Linked DNA regions of Canis lupus familiaris. The protein of the gene in region 1 interacts with the protein of each later gene in a pairwise test. Links are inferred from orthologs where the notes say so. Each region holds a gene or a part of one and is shown on either strand. Other genes may lie near its edges.

Evidence for each region.
Region 2: the proteins of GABARAPL2 (region 1) and GIMAP6 interact in a two-hybrid assay, tested with the Homo sapiens proteins (2 studies listed by BioGRID). The two-hybrid records come from large-scale screens. The link is inferred for Canis lupus familiaris from reciprocal best matches to the Homo sapiens genes GABARAPL2 and GIMAP6.

What each region holds. Positions count from the first base shown.
Region 1 is NC_049226.1:75,813,217-75,821,328, reverse strand, and holds the start of GABARAPL2 (gamma-aminobutyric acid receptor-associated protein-like 2), read left to right. Parts: upstream 1-3,458; 5' UTR 3,459-4,073; coding exon 4,074-4,107; intron 4,108-4,431; coding exon 4,432-4,487; intron 4,488-5,620; coding exon 5,621-5,793; intron 5,794-8,112. UniProt on the Homo sapiens protein: Ubiquitin-like modifier involved in intra-Golgi traffic. Modulates intra-Golgi transport through coupling between NSF activity and SNAREs activation. It first stimulates the ATPase activity of NSF which in turn stimulates the association with GOSR1.
Region 2 is NC_049237.1:15,573,773-15,581,779, reverse strand, and holds the start of GIMAP6 (GTPase IMAP family member 6), read left to right. Parts: upstream 1-3,124; 5' UTR 3,125-3,335; coding exon 3,336-3,509; intron 3,510-5,286; exon of another isoform or gene 5,287-5,701; intron 5,702-5,707; exon of another isoform or gene 5,708-5,808; intron 5,809-5,864; exon of another isoform or gene 5,865-6,013; intron 6,014-6,370; coding exon 6,371-6,455; intron 6,456-7,554; coding exon 7,555-8,007.

The DNA of each region.
Region 1 (8,112 bases):
ATGACTTTCATTTATTCAAGTAACAAAACCATATAATTTAATTCATATGTGGGACTTCAGAAAACAAATGAACAAAGGGAAAAAAAGAGACAAACCAGAAAACAGACTATATTATTATATAGAACAAACCGATGGTTACCAGAAGGCAGGTAGATGGGAGGATCGGTGAAATAGGTGAAGGGCAATGGGGGGCTGACACCAAACACTTATATAAGAGAGCGCTTATCTTGATGAGCCCTGAGTAATATATGGAATTGTTGGATCACTATGTTGTATGCCTGAAACTAATACACCACTGTATGTTAACTACACTGAACTAAAAATTTAAGAATAACCATTAAAATAAGATTCTGGAATCGATGGTTCTAGTGTTACCTCCTGAGTGCAGCTCTACACCAAGGAAAGAGGCATTTGCCTTCAAAGTTCCTTCTTTCAGTAGAAGGAAACACATACTGTGGCTAGTGTCAGCTTAGTCACTGCTGAGAACAAGGTGGTGATTCCTAAGAATTTAGGTGTGTGAAGTGCCTCCCCTGAGATGCCATGAGCTTTGCAAAAGTATTTAATAATAATGGATACTAATACTTACTCTTTGCTTCCATTATTTGAAGAAGCTAATCTTTGTGGTCTTATTTTGATTCTTTAAGAGGGAATTTTATTTTTATTTTTATTTTTTATTTTTTTTTGGAATTTTAGTTTTTAAAAATGCTAAAGGTCTGTGTATATTGTGTCATTGTCATATATTCATAACTGAGAACTGACTTCTCTGTTTCCATTTCCATAATTTTTTCATGTTTCATAAAATTTACTTTTTAAAAAAGATTTATTTATTTTAGAGAGAAGGAGAGCACGTGAGTGGCGGGGAGAGGCAGAGAGGGGGAAATAAGCAGACTCCCCTGCTAAGTGCGGAGCCTGACCCCAGGATGCTGAGCTCATGACCTGAGCCGGAACCGAGAGTCAGACACTATACCTACTGAGCCTCTTAGGTGCACCTTCATAGAATTTACTTTTAAGGACAAAGAGAGTTGTTCTCTTAAAACTACACATTTTGATCACGTTCTACTCCTTTCTAAAAGCTCCCATTCAGGGTATCTCGAATCAGTTCAGAACGCCTGAATGTTCACATCAAGGCTTTCCAGCATTTGTCTATATTGCTTCCCAGTTCCCTCTTCTAACCCCAGTCTTTGTGTCTATTAAGCGAAGTTTGTCCTTTGAAAAATGTACACTTCTCTCTGACACATAAGATTCACATTCTCTGTTTAGTCTTTTTTGATAAGCCTCGCTTGGTTTGGTGTCAGCCCCCATTGCCCTAACCATCCTTCAGCATTCAAGTGCAGGACCTCTCCAACATCTGAAATTTATTCTGCATATTTTATAAGTCTGTTAATATATAACTGCATACTTTAATTATCCTATTTTTTCTTCTGAGTCATCTTTTCAACTAGCCACCCCCTCAAGGAAGGCATTCGGTATCTTTAGAACATTCAATAAGCTAGTATAATGACCCCATAGGTAAAGAAGGTGATGCATATCATCAGGGCAGATCAGAGAATCCAATTAGAATGGTGAACTGGAAAAAGACATCAAAGAAGTAAGTAAAGATAGAAGACAGAAAAACACTGCACCTTACGAAGACCATCAGGTTACACTCCTGTAAGGGGTGACTTATGGGATCTTTCCACTTTGATTCCTCAGTGTTTAATTCTATTTGCAAAATAGGTATTTTCAGTTTTTTCATTCACTCTCTAGCTGATCTCATCAGTTCAATAGCTTTAAATACTTCTCTCTTGAATTTGAGACTCATAGATCTATTCACTTACTCCATATATCTTCATTTGGATGTGTCCCTTGGGCATCTCAGACTCAATAGAGCCAAAACCAAACCTTGATCCCCACCTCCCCAACTGGCTCCACTCTATTTCAGTAAATGGCAATTCCATCCTTCTAAAAACTCTGACTTTGACTTGTCCCTCACACTTCATATTCAATCTATCATCAAATTTTGTTGGTTGGCTCTACCTTCAAAATATATCTAGAATATAATTGCTTCCCACCATCCCCACAGACATTATCTTGGTCTAGGCCAACATCATCTTCCACTTGGATTATCACAATAGCTTCCTAATTGTTTTCCTGACTTCCATTCTCAAACCCTTAGAGTCTGTCTACAAAAAAGCTAGCCTGCTCAGTTCAAAAGGAAAGCCATACCATGTCACACCTCTGCTTAAAATCCTCTACTTCTCATTTCATTCTAAATAACATCCAAAGTTCTTCACATGAAATTCAAAACTCAACAGCTGGGCAGCCCGGGTGGCTCAGCGGTTTAATACTGCCTTCAGCCCAGGGCCTGATCCTGGAGACCTGGGATCGAGTCCCACGTCGGGCTCCCTGTGTGGAGCCTGCGACTCCCTCTGCCTGTGTTTCTGCCTCTCTCTCTCTCTGTCTCTCATGAATAAATAAATAATCTTAAAAAAAAAAAAAACTCAACAGCTTTGTTACACATATCTTTGATCTCATCTTCTAACATACCCCCCCTTGCTAATTCAGCTCCAGCCACAAGGGGTTCCTTCCTGTCCCTGATTATGCCAACCACTTTACCTGATTAGCATTACCCCACTGTCACTCGTCACCAACCCTGCTTTATTTTCTAAACAGCGCCTACCATTACCTGACATTTGTTGTCTTATCCCACTAGAAACTCCTTGACAGCTGAATGTTCTGTTCACTGCTTTTCCTCAACACCTAGAACAGTGCTCCTGTATGCAGCAGTAATAATTTCTAGGTATGAAATTCAAAGGGCTTTTCACTTCATTAAAAACAAGCAAGCAAACAAAAGCCTATTTTGGTTGCTCAGACAATCTTAAAATAACCAAAATGCTTCTAGAATGAAGCTAGATTCCACAGCATCCATCAGGAATTACAACTATGGGAAATGGTGAACGACAATATTCACACATGCAATCCTTTCAGATGCATCAGAATCATAAGCACATGACAAGGATCATGTGCCCAATTAAATGAATATTCTTGTTACATATTCACCAGCTAGTAAACAGATGTTGACCCAGAGCAGACTGTCCTGATGACTCTGCTAGGAAGAAAGAGGTGACATCACTGGAGAACTCAAGGCATATGCTCAGGCAGGTGACACACGTACGCACAGCCTAGACTGTGATTGCTGAACTCCATGCTGACTGCCAAAGAAATTTGTCTCATGACTCTCAGGGGAATTCTCTCAGCCAGACAGTCACCTCTAAGTCCTCTGTAGTTAAGGTTAAGGGGTCTCTTTGTGATCAGTGAGATGTTATGCTCCTCAAATGTCTATTTGTGATACATGTGCTTACATGTTTAGTCAAACGTTTATTTATTCATGAAAAAAGGAAGGAAATAGGGTTTTGTTTAAATTCCATTTCTAGGTCCAAGGCCACCTGTTTTGGCTGTCTCCAATACTGAACCCCCGGCTTGTCATCAGAACCTCTCCCCACACAGGCCCCTCAAATTAGCCACACCCTCCAACCTGTTACCACTCCAAACAATACTCCCCAAACTGTCAATGCGCTAAACAGATCTCCCCCACCCCGCCATTATCGACCATCAGAGACCCCTCGTCTGTCACTCATGCTCCAAAATTCCCGACACCGAGACTTCCCTCATGAAAAGCCCTCTGAGCGCCCTATCCTATCAGCCAGACCCCCAAACTCCTCTTCCCGTTACCAACGTCCGCCGAGACCCGGTTCCTGTTAGCAGTTCCCGACAGCATCCCCTTCCCCGTCACCGAAACCCCTCCAGGACTGCCGGGTGGCCAACGTCATCAGCCCCACTTCCTCGTAGCCTCGCCTCGCCCCGCCCCGCCTCGCCGCTCGCCCCGCCCCTTTGAATGTGGCCACGCCCCCTGGCGCGGCGTCCCGGCGAACTGCGCCGGAAGCCCCGCCCCCGGCCGGTTGCTAGGCTCCGGCAGCCGGAAGTCCCGCCTGCCGTGTAGTCGCCGCCGCCGCTGCTGCCGTCGTTGTTGTTGTGGTTGGTTCGCTGAGCTCCGCGGCTCCGAGAGCCGGCTGCATCCCTTCCCCGCCGTCGCCATGAAGTGGATGTTCAAGGAGGACCACTCGCTGGGTAAGGCTCCGTCAGAGGCCGGGTGGTGGGGGTCGCGGCGGCGGGTGGGCCCCCTCCCCCACTCGGGCCGCCCTGGGCTGGGCCGGGCGGGGCGGATGCCGAGCTGTGGCCTCGGGTCGCGGAGGCCCCGGCGCCCCCGCCGGCTGCCCACGGACGCTGTGCCGCCTTCTGCCCTCCTGCCGGGAGGCGGGGGCCGAGGACCGAGGCCGCCGAGACGCCGTAACAAGGACCCGGGCGTGCGCAGGTCGCTGGGGGAGGTGGGTCGGGGGCGCGGGAAGCGGCGGACGAGCAGGCGCGACCGGCAGCCCCGTCTGTTTCCCACAGAACACAGATGCGTGGAATCCGCGAAGATCCGAGCGAAATACCCCGACCGCGTTCCGGTGAGTGCACTCCCCGCCCCCTCACCTCGTCGTCACCCCGTCGTCTAGGACTCGCGATAGGGCCCCGGGCCACTCAGCAGTTGATAAGTTGAGGTTCCAGTCCCAGTTATAGGAGCAGACAAGCCAGACGGGGCTCGGGGCCTTGGGGGCCGTGGCGTGAGGGGCTTGAGCAGGTGCTGTTCAGGGTGCCTCAGTGCTGAATCTCCCGATCTAGGCCAGCGAGCTGTCTGCAGCCTCTGGGCTCCCTCGCCAATTATGTAAGGAACGATGTTCTAGGACAGGGCAACAGGTCACTGCCACTTTTGGGAACACTGGTGGAGGGAGACTGTCACTTTGGTCTTAGAAGTGGTACTTTAGTCTCAGGACACTCATCTTTAACTTTGAGCCTCTGTCTTTACTTGATTTCTAGCTCCCTTTCCTCACTCTGACCCTGTCATCCTTTGCTGACCAAAAAAAATCTGAGAAGCCTCTGAGAACTCCCTTCTTTCGTGGTTCCTCCTTAATCAGTAATAAAGATCCTGTTTCTTCCGTGGTAGGGGTAAAGTTTCTATAATTCTTACTGATTTTTAGAGGACATCCGTGTCTGTTATTGTAGCTCTTTGTTTGAACAAGCAAAACTCTGAGGAGGGGTTAGGAGGGACACATTTGAAACCTAGTTCAGGGAGAAGCAACAGGCCAAATGAGGAGCTTGGTTTACTCATTCCCATTAGTCCATCCATTCCTCTCCCCTTTGTTCCTTGGGATCTTACTTCCTCTGTAGTGTGAAGGCAGATTCATTCTGGAGTCTTGGAGTAACTGGCTGTAGATGAAACCAGGTATCTCAGGTCTGCCCAGACAAAATGTCGAAGAGCTTTGTAGTAAGGGCGTGTGTTTCTCTTATGCTCGCTGAGATGCAGGATGATAAACATAATTGACCACAGAAAAGCACTTTCTGTTTCCATATCATACATTTATGTCAGTTCTTAACCTCCAGAGTTAAGAGTTTGTGGTTTATTAAATCAGGGGCATATTTTCCAGTGTTGTGCAGTTTCCCACCCACCTCCTTGCCCACATAGTATTCATCAGCTCCCTGGCAATGCAAGGCCAGAGCCTCACTTTAGAAACCCAGTCCTGATCTCTCTTTGCTTTCCCAGGTGATTGTGGAAAAAGTCTCAGGCTCTCAGATTGTCGACATTGACAAACGGAAGTATTTGGTTCCATCTGACATCACTGTGGCTCAGTTCATGTGGATCATCAGGAAAAGGATCCAGCTTCCTTCTGAAAAGGCAATCTTCCTGTTTGTGGATAAGACAGTCCCACAGTCCAGGTGAGAAGTGTTTACTAGCATTGGCCACCTGCTTGGCTGCTTACAGAACTCTAAACTTTGGAGGTGAGAAAACTCTTAGAGGTCCTGACTGGAAATCTGGATGTTGTGCTCCCTGACATGAGGAGCTCAAGGAAAATAAGAAAGGGCTACAGTATCTGGGAATATACTTTGGGTTAAGAAAATAGAACAAGGTTGGACTTAAAAAAAAAAAAAAATCTAGCCTCAGACCCTGATGAATACTTTAAAACAGTTCAGGATTTACTTAGGCTTAAGCCATCACTAGAACCTAAATGAGCCTAAAATTAGGTTTTCTTTAAATGACCCATGAAATAAGTCCTGTCGTTCTCCACTAGGGGCTTGTGGGCCCTGCTGAGGCTCAGCTTCAGTTAATCATCCTCCTGCTTGCTCTCCAAACTTAGTTCTGTGCCACTGCGAGTGTGTAGCTGTCTGATCCTCAGGTATGCTGGAATGGCTGCTGTCCAGCAAAAGGCTCTGAGGTCTCTTTACAGACTTACACCCCCCCTCGTAGCACCTGCTCCGACTGTCAGAGTAACCGCCCCCCTTGCTCTAGCTGTTGTGCTGCCTAGAAGCATTCTTTGGCATAACTTGGGGCCCGAGTCTTCTGGGGCATTATAATTCTCTTCTTCTGTGTAGTTGACAGCCCAGCTTTAGTCCCTGGTGGAAAAAAGAAAATGGACTGGCTCCTTCAAAATTCCTGGTCAGTCCTTTGCCATTACTGGTTGAGTATTAGCCCTTGAGCCAGATGCTAGTCCCTCTCCCCCGAGTGTGAGTTCCTGGCTACATCTCATCTTGGAGACTCCAAGTAAGTCTCATTGGTTACTCCCCTAAAGGTAGTACTTCTGCAAGCTTAGGCTTTCAGAATCCCTGGAACTATCCCAGTTTGGCCAAAATATGTTCCCTTTGAAAATCCTTGAAAGCTCCAGAAAAGACCTAAGCCAAAATCTAGTCCCTTTCCTATGACAGATAGCTCTGGCTATTTTTTTATCTGATTTACTTTCCTAATCTCCACCACCTCCATTTCCTGTGTTTGGCAGAGAGGTTGGGGAAAAATGAAAGGTTCTTCAGTAAGGTCAGTGTCCAGCCTGAGGAGATCCGCCTGGCCTGCCTGCTAGGTGCTGTTGGTCTCCTATAGCTGTTGTTCAGGAAGCTGTGGTGTTGGCAGAGGCGGTCTTGACACCTGGTGGGGCTCTTCCAGCCTTCCTTCCCCGACCTCCAGGCAGCATGGTGCTGGGTTCATCAGGTTAGGAAGCCCTGGGCATCTGTAGTCGTAACTCAGCTTCTCTTAAGGTGGTGGAGAGGTGAATCTTCAGTCATCACACTGCTGATCACTTGACAGCAGCACACACAGAACTGCCACAGGGTCTCCTGCTAACTCCATCTCCTGCAGCTTCTGCAGAGTCTGGGTAACTCTGTGTTTCCTCCTTCCTGGCAGTGGCTTCTTAGGGAAGGAAGCAGGTGTCTAAGACCTGTGGCTTTGAATTTATTTGATCAATTCTTCTGATTTTTCTTTTCCTTTTCCTTTTTTTTTTTTTTTTTTAAGATTTTATTGATTTATTTATGAGAGACACAGAGAAGGCGGAGACATAGGCAGAGGGAGGAGCAGGCTCCTCGCAGGGAGCCCGATGTGGGACTCCATCCCGGAACTCTGGGATCATGGCCTCAGCCGAAGGCAGACGCTCAACCACTGAGCCACCTAGGCATCCCACTTTTGATGTTTCTTAAAGGAGATGTGCAGGCTTCTGGAGACACTGTTACTCTGATGGCCTCATGTTAATCTAGCAATTAAAATGGCTGCAGATTAGCAACTGCCCCCTCCCTCCATTATCCCTGAGATATAAATAGAATTGGAAATCAAAAGTAATTCTCAGGGCAGCAGAGGCTGCTTCCTTTTCTCTCCCAGTCCCATTTGCCTTTCCAGCCTGGTAAGAATCTGCCCTAAAGCAGATGACACCAGTGACCCCTGTCAGGATTTTAGAGAATCGCTAACCAGGCTTCCTCTGCCCGGGCCTTTGGCCCCAGTTAATGACTTTCTGTCCCCACACTTAATACAGCGATTTGGTTTTTTTAAGAAAATTTGTTTCTAAACAAAAGTGGTATATGACATCACTGGGCCTTATGCAAATACTGATCACTTGACAGCAGCACACACGGAACTGCCACAGGGTCTCCTGCTAAAGCTAATGTGTGACTCAGTCCTGCCATCTCCTCCCCAAGGCACGTTAACAGCAGCCTCTTCCTCAGCTCCTTCCAGCCTCCTTAGGAAGTGCGGGGCCTCAACCTTCCACCAGTGCTTGCAGC
Region 2 (8,007 bases), on another chromosome or scaffold:
ACAATCAAGTAATTGACATATCCACTGTCTCACAAGGTTATGTTTCCTTCCTTCCTTCCTTCCTTCCTTCCTTCCTTCCTTCCTTCCTTCCTTCCTTCCTTCCTTCCTTCCTCCCTCCCTCCCTTCCTTCCTTTGTGAGAATACTTACCCCTTGGTGGGCATTTATGTTGTTTCCAGGTTTGTGCTATTCTGAGTGTCACTATAATATCACAGGCATTCCTTTTCAGGGAACACAGGCACCTATGTCTGTTGGGGGTGTGCTTCCTGGTAGGATAGCTTGGTATTGACTCTATTCCTGGGTACTGCAGACTTTTCCAAAGGGGTTCTACCAACTTCTGAGTTCTATTTCCATAACCTCAGAAGTTTCCTTTATATAGAATGTTTACACGATTTTCAAGTCTATTCTTAGGCATTTTACTTTTTGTTGTTATTTTTTAAATCACAAGTTATATCTAGTTGGCTATTGTTTTTATGTTAGTCAGTTTGTATGGTTTTTATTTAATTTTGCACTCATTAATTTATTTACTGCTCTTAATAGGAGCTTATTGTGATGTAGGAATGAGTCAGGGACAGATGGCACCTGGCAGGGAAAGATAACGGAATGGCCCAAAGTCAGGCTCCCATAGATCTGTAGGCTCCCATAAACCCCAAGGACACCAAAAGACCCAGAGTCAGGCTCCTACCCATCCCAAGGAAACAGAGATAAGTAAAAAAGTAAAAAAAAAAAAACAAAAAACAAAAAACAAAACAAAACAAACAAAAAAACCCCCCACACACACAGAGAGAAAGAGGGACGCCTGGGTGGCTCAGCAGTTGAGCATCTGCCTTTGGCTCAGGGAGTGATCCTGGAGTCCCAGGATGGAGTCCCACATGGGGCTTCCTGCATGGAGCATGCTTCTCCCTTTGCCTCTGCCTCTCTCTCTGTGCCTCTCATGAAGAAAGAAAGAAAGAAAGAAAGAAAGAAAGAAAGAAAGAAAGAAAGAAAGAAAGAAAGAAAGAAAGAAAGAAAGAAACCCAGCTCCCTAGCTCTAAAATGTTAGGGAGTATCCCCCTTTAGTGGCTACTAAGTAATCACAGAAACTCACCAAACCACAAAGAATATGTCATTAAGGTATTATCAATAGTCCCCTCTCACACCAAGACTGTACAAGAATCCCCAGGCCGTGGGCTCCCTGGCTAGGTTCTCAATAACAGATTGCCACTAAAAGCCCTCACTGGCAACCCTGTTGGGAGCCCTTTCACCTCTGAGAGCTTCCTCTGTATCTTTGCTTAATAAACTTCTATCGCTTTACTCACTCTCCGTTGTCTGCGCGATTCATTCTTCGACTCTGTGAGACAAGAACCTAGCTCTCACGTATCAATTGGTTTATTCATGTTTTTAAGATTTATTTATTTATTTGAGAGAAAGTGTGTGTATGAGCAGGGGGAGGGGCAAAGGGAGAGGGAGAGAAAATCTTAAGCAGACTCCCTGCTGAATGTGGGGCCTGATGGGGGGGCTTAATCCCAGGACCCTGAGATCATGACTTGATCTGAAATCAAGAGTTGGGTGCTTAACCAGCTGAGCCACCCAGGTGCCCTTTGGTTTATTCTCTTGATTTTCTCAGACATATAATCACAACCTTTAGAAATAATGATAATTTTACATCCACTTTATGTTTTTTATACATGCGATTTATTTGTTATTTCTGGTTTTAGTGTATATTTCCTCAAAACATTTAAAATAGTGTTAACATTTTAAACCTCCAGATCTCCATTAAACCTCCGAAATGCTTATCAAAATCTTTTGATTAACAGAACACCTTCCCTGAGGAGCCTTTCAGCTCTAGCTCTTCACAGCAGTTCCTGAGAAAAAAGATGGGATGAAGCATTCAAGTAACCAAAGGAAGTCCATCAAGGCGGGAGCAGAGGGGAGAAGAAAGAGGCTGGAATGAAGTGGTGAGAAAACAGTACAAAGTGACCATATCACCTGGGTCATCCAAAGCAGCCATGGTGGGGAGGAAAAGCTAAATAAATTGTGATGATCACAGACCCACTCAGAAAGGGTGATTTAATTTCAAGATCATGCTTCCCCCTCCCACTCCTACCACCACATTGACAGGGCCTCGGTATAAAAACAGTGAATTAAAGCCAAAAGAACAGCACTGCACAAACTCTATTTAAGAAGGGCTTCTTAGGGAAACCCACAGACAACAGAGAAACGAGACAACAGGAGCACTGAAGGAAACTATGGGAGCCTGACTTTGGGCCATTCCGTTATCTTTCCCTGCCAGGTGCCATCTGTCCCTGACTCATTCCTACATCACAATAAGCTCCTATTAAGAGCAGTAAATAAATTAATGAGTGCAAAATTAAATAAAAACCATACAAACTGACTAACATAAAAACAATAGCACCTACATCCATGGGAAACATGAACACAGCCCGACTCCTAGACAGATGGACATGAAACATCACACTACAGCCCTAGTTACCTCAGTTCCTAAACTCTGATAGATCACGTTCAGCTTGGCATGTCAACACAAGCTGTGCTAAGAGGCAAGAAGCACAGTCTGGAGGGGCACCTGGGTAGCTCAGTGGTTGAGTGTCTGCCTTCATCCCAGGTCGAGATCCCAGAGTCTTGGGATTGAGTCCTGCATGGGGCTCCCTGCAGGGAGCCTGCTTCTCCCTCTGCCTAGGTCTCTGCCTCTCTCTCTGTGTCTCTCATGAATAAAAAAATAATATCTTTTTAAAAAAAGCACAATCTGGAGACACAGAGCAAACTAGACTCAGCTATAAGTCAGATATTAGAATTGTCAGACGTGTGTGTACACACATATATAAAAAGATTTATTATAAAGAATTGGCTACAAGGTTTACTCTACAGGATGGGCTCAACTGTGGTTCAGCTGACAAGTCCCAAGGCCCCATAGTCCCAGAAAGAAAATGTGTAAAGGGAGTTGGAATTGAGGAGGGAGGAGGAGATGCCAGGCACCTGCCACTATGGTAAAGGCATGGGGTCTCTGTAGCAAGCAGGCAACTCGCAAAGAAGGGACATCTGTAAAAAATCATTCCCCTTGCACAGCATTTTCTAGAGAATCTGCTGCTTCTTTCTAAGCCTCTGAGATCTCAGTGTCCTAGTGCAGGATCAAAATCATAACAACACGGGTGTTCATGTTTTTCCTGTTTCTACTACCAAAGCCGCAGACAAAATGCAAACGGTGGCGAGTGTCTTCTGACGGAGGAGGGGCTGCCCTGGGTGTTCCTGTTCACTTCCTGACAGCTGCTCTCTCAAGGGCACTTCTCGGAGCTGAGCTTTCTGATCCCATTTTGCTGGAAAAAAAAAAACCAAACAAGCCATGTCCTTTATCTATTCCTACACCGTGGACACTTTCCTCCACCTCCTTCAGTCAAGGTCCTCAAAAGTCCACGATGCGTCGGCCCCAAAAGGAGAAACAAAGAATTCACAAGAGCATGTGGCCTCAGGAGACAGAGAACATCGCCATTCCTCCTGCCCAGCAGCTGACAGCGTGGTAAGTCCAAGTGTGTGGGGAAGTGTGTCTGTGTGTGTTGTTTGTGTGTGTGTGTCATGTACCTATGTTCCCGTGTGTGTTGTGTTTTTGTGTTTGTGTGAATATGTGTTGTGTTTGGGAGTGTATGGGTGGAGTGTGTGTAAAGGGTTTGTGTATATGGGTGTGTTTATGTATATCATGTGTTTGTGTGGATGTGTGTGTTGTGTATTTATGTTTCCATGTGTGTTATGTTTGTGTGTACGAATGTATGTGTGTTCATTATGTTTGTGCATATATTTGTGTGTTTATGTATTTGTATGTGTATGTGGTGTGTTTTGAGTGTATGTGTGTAAGTGGTATGTGTGACATGTTTGTGTGTATGTGTGTATGTTTGTGAGTGTTGGTGTTGGTGAGTCTATGGGTGTGTGTTGTGTTTGTGAGCCTGTGGGTGTGTTTGTGAGTGTATGTATGTTTGTGAGTGTGGGTGTTTGTGAGTCTGTGGGTGTATATGTTAGTGAGTGTGGGTGTTTGTGAGTCTGTGGGTATGTGTATATTTATGAGTGTGGGTGTTTGTGTGTGTGAGTCTATGGGTGTGTGTATGTTTGTGAGTGTGGGTGTTTATGAGTCTGTGAGTGTGTGTATGCTTATAAGTGTGGCTGTTAGTGAGTGTGGGTATTTGTGAGTCTGTGGGTATGTGTATGTTTGCGAGGGTGGGTGTTAATGAGTCTGTGAGTGTGTGTGTGAGTGTGGGTGTTTGTGAGTGTGTGGGTGTGTGTATGTTTGTGAGTATCTTTGTGGCTGTGTGGCTGTGGGTGTGTATGTTAGTGAGTGTGGGTATTTGTGACTGTGGGTATGTGTATGTTAGTGAGTGTGGGTGCTGGTGAGTCTGTGGGTGTATGTACGTTGGTGAATTGGTGGGTGTGTGTATGTTAGTGAGTGTGAGTGTTTGTGACTATGGGTGTTTGTGAGTCTATGGGTGTGTGTATGTTAGTGAGTGTGGGTGTTTGTGACTATGGGTGTTTGTGAGTCTGTGGGTGTGGGTATGTTTGTGAGTGTGGATGTTTGTGACTATGGGTGTTTGTGAGTCTATGGGTGTGTGTATGTTAGTGAATGTGGGTGTTGGTGAGTCTGTGGATGTTGGGGAGTCTGTGGGGTGTGTGTTAGTGAGGGTGGGTGTGGGGGAGTCTGTGCGTGTTGGTGAGTCTGTGTGTGTGTGTTAGTGAGTGTGGGTGTTGGGGAGTCTGTGGATATTGGGGAGTCTGTGGGGGGGTGTGTTAGTGAGTGTGGGTGTTGGGGAGCCTTTGGGAATGTGCTGTGCGTGTAGCGCATGCACGCGCGTCTACAGTGGAATAGAAAGAGCCGTGACTAGGAGGTCAGGAGAACCCTTGCCCTACGTGCCCTGCCGCGAAGTCACTGCTCAATTCTGGGCAAGACGCTTCTGCGAGCTGACCTTCCTGGGAAACATGAGATGACAGGCTGCTCGTGCTCATGCTGGAGGCAAAAACTGCCAAGTGTGGCAAACATGTGAGGTGCTGCTCAGGGCCGGCCGTGGGGCGAGGCGGCGCGGGGCGGGGTGCGCACTCCCTCGGGGTGCCCGGCTGCAGTGCCCGGTTCAGATTCTCTGCCCAGGTGCCTCCCCCGCCTTGCCCACCAGCCCTGCTCATACCTTCCAGGAAGCCTCGCTAGAGGAGCCACCAGATTTCCCTGGTGAAGCGCTGCCTCAGTTTCCACCGAGGGTGTAAGGGAGCCAGGGGCAAAGAGGGTGGGGGTCTCCAGGTGCAGAGATAGGAGCGCTAACCTCCTTGTTCCAGAAGCCCCTGGGAGAGGATCAATGCTGTGTCCTCACCAGAATGTTGCTGACCGGTCTGGGGGGAAGCTGTTCACCTGGGCCGGTCACTTTCTTGTCCTGGAAACTCCCAAGACTCACTGGCGGTGTCCACTCTGAGCCTGGGGCCTTGGAGCTGGCAGGGCTGCACACGGCTGACGGTCACGAGGAACGGCCTCAGCGGCCTCCCACCGGCCAGCTGCTGGGACCCGGGCAGCACCGAAGTCATCGCCAGGCCCACAGACCAGGCCCAGTAGCCTTTCGGGGCTGTCCTCATCCTAAATGACGGTGATGGGAGATGAGCTCTGAGGTCCCCTGGCTCCCAGCCAGACTCTGTCCCTGTTGTTCTCACACAGAACCCGGCCACCCACCTCTTGCCCTCTGCAACCCTCACCGCTGAGCCTTTCCCAAAGGTCAGGCATGGATCCCTCTTCTTGGTCCAAGACCCGCGTGTCCCCCCACCCCCACCCCCAGCCCAGCCAGCCTGTGGCTGCAACTTCCTGCCAGCGCCCTCCAGATCTTTCCACTGCTCTCAGGACCCAGTATCAGACCTGCCTCTGCTCTCTGCTCCTCCCTCTCCTCGCAAAGCATGTTGTTCCAGGTCCCTGTCTATAAAACGCCACCTGCTCCTCAGCCTGCCGCTGAGGCCATCCCCCTTTTTCTGTGAAGTCTCCTAAACAGACAGTAGAAACCACAGTGGTGGGGGGGCGGGGAGAGAGGAGGGGAAAGGAAGACAGAAAGGAAGTGGGAAATACCAGAAAGGGAGACAGAACGTAAAGACTGCTAACTCTGGGAAACGAACTAGGGGTGGTGGAAGGGGAGGAGGGCGGGGGGTGGGAGTGAATGGGTGACGGCACTGGGGGCTATTCTGTATGTTAGTAAATTGAACACCAATAAAAAATAAATTAAAAAAAAAAAAAGAAAGGAAGTAGAGACCCCTCGGGCCCCCTCCTCTTTCAGGCTGCTCCCCCTCAAACCAATGCTTCTGGCAAGAGAAAGGCAACGCCTCTCCGAACTCTGCTGAGAAACTAACAAGACGCATTATGGTTATCTCTAGCCGGAGGAAGAAGAATGCGAACATATTCTGGAGGAGGACCCTGCAGGAGAGCTGAATCTCGATCCTAGACCAGGCATTTTAGGAGGTAAACCACTTTCTAACAGGAATGAACTTGAGAGAGGTGCGGATGGCGGCATTCAATGTGTACGTGGGTGTGTAGGGACCGGCGGCAGGGCTCATCCTGGTCAGAGATTTGCCCACCTGGGCCGCCATCAAAGGGTCTTTGGGTGGGGGCCCTCCTCTACTCAGCCAAGTAAGAGGGAAAGGTCCCTGACAGGCAGACGAAGGGAGAGAGAGTGCCAGCCACCACCTTGACTAAATCTCTGTGCCAGGCCCAAGGGAAAGGGCCTGTGCCTTCTGGGATTTCGTCCTCAGGAAGGAGGTGCTGATGGTCAGTGTGACCAAATGACTTGCCCAGACCTCGTACAGGTGTCTGGATCCGATGGGAGAGCTCCTGGGGTCCTATGGGCTGCAGAGCACCACCGGCACAAGCAGGATATCCTAGGCCTGCACTTGGCCTTCTCAAGGGCTTCTGTCCCCCCAAAAGTTATGGCATCAGGGTCAGGAGCTGAGCTTCTGAGGGCTCAGTGTGGCCACTAACCTGGGGACACAGAATCTGGGACTGCTGGAAAATGAATGGATTTCATGGCAGCACTGTTCACAATGGTAAAAGGTGAAAACAACCCAAATGTTCATATATGTGTAGGAATAATCAAGAAGCGCCATATACCTACAATGGAGTATTATTCAGTCTTAAAAAGGTGGGAAATTCTGTGCTGGGCTGCAACATCCATGCCCTGGGAACCACTGTGCTAACTGAAATAAGGCCGACACAGAAAAACGAATGTAATTACAATTTGGAAAATGAAATAAAATAATTACAATTTGGGATGATGAAAACATTCTTGAGAGGCACCATGGAGATGATTGCACAACAGCGTGAATGTCCTGGGCGCCACTGAACTGCGCGCCTAAAACTGAGGACAGTGATAAGTTTGATGTTATACTATACTTTTTTATGCTATATAAATACCATGATAATAATAATAAGCGGAACAAAAGCAAGGCAGAAGGGGAGCCCCGCAGGTCACAGTCCAGGGCGAGACGCAGGTCTCCGCGCTGCCCGTGGACCCCAGGGCACGGCTCTCACCCCCGCTCCCTCTGCTTTGTCCCCCTGCTTCCAGGCCTGTGGGAGGCCCCACGGACCCCGCAGAAACTGCGACTGCTCCTGGTGGGGAAAAGCGGCAGCGGGAAGAGCGCTACAGGGAACAGCATCCTGGGCAGGAGAGAGTTCCCGTCCCGACTCAGCCCTCAACCGGTGACCCGGGACCTCCAGCGGGGCAGCGGCGCCTGGGCCGGGCGGGAGCTCGAGGTGATCGACACGCCCGACCTCCTGTCCCCGCAGGCCGGGCCCGAGGCGGCGGCGCGGGCCATCTGCGAGGCGGTGGCCTTCTCGGCGCCCGGGCCGCACGCGGTGCTGCTGGTGACGCAGCTGGGCCGCTTCACGGAGGAGGACCGGCAGGCGGTGCGGGGCCTGCAGGAGGCCTTCGGGGTGGGCGTCCTGGCGCACACGGTGCTGGTGTTCACGCGCAGGGAGGACCTGGGCGGCGGCTCCCTGGAGGAGTACGTGCGCCGCA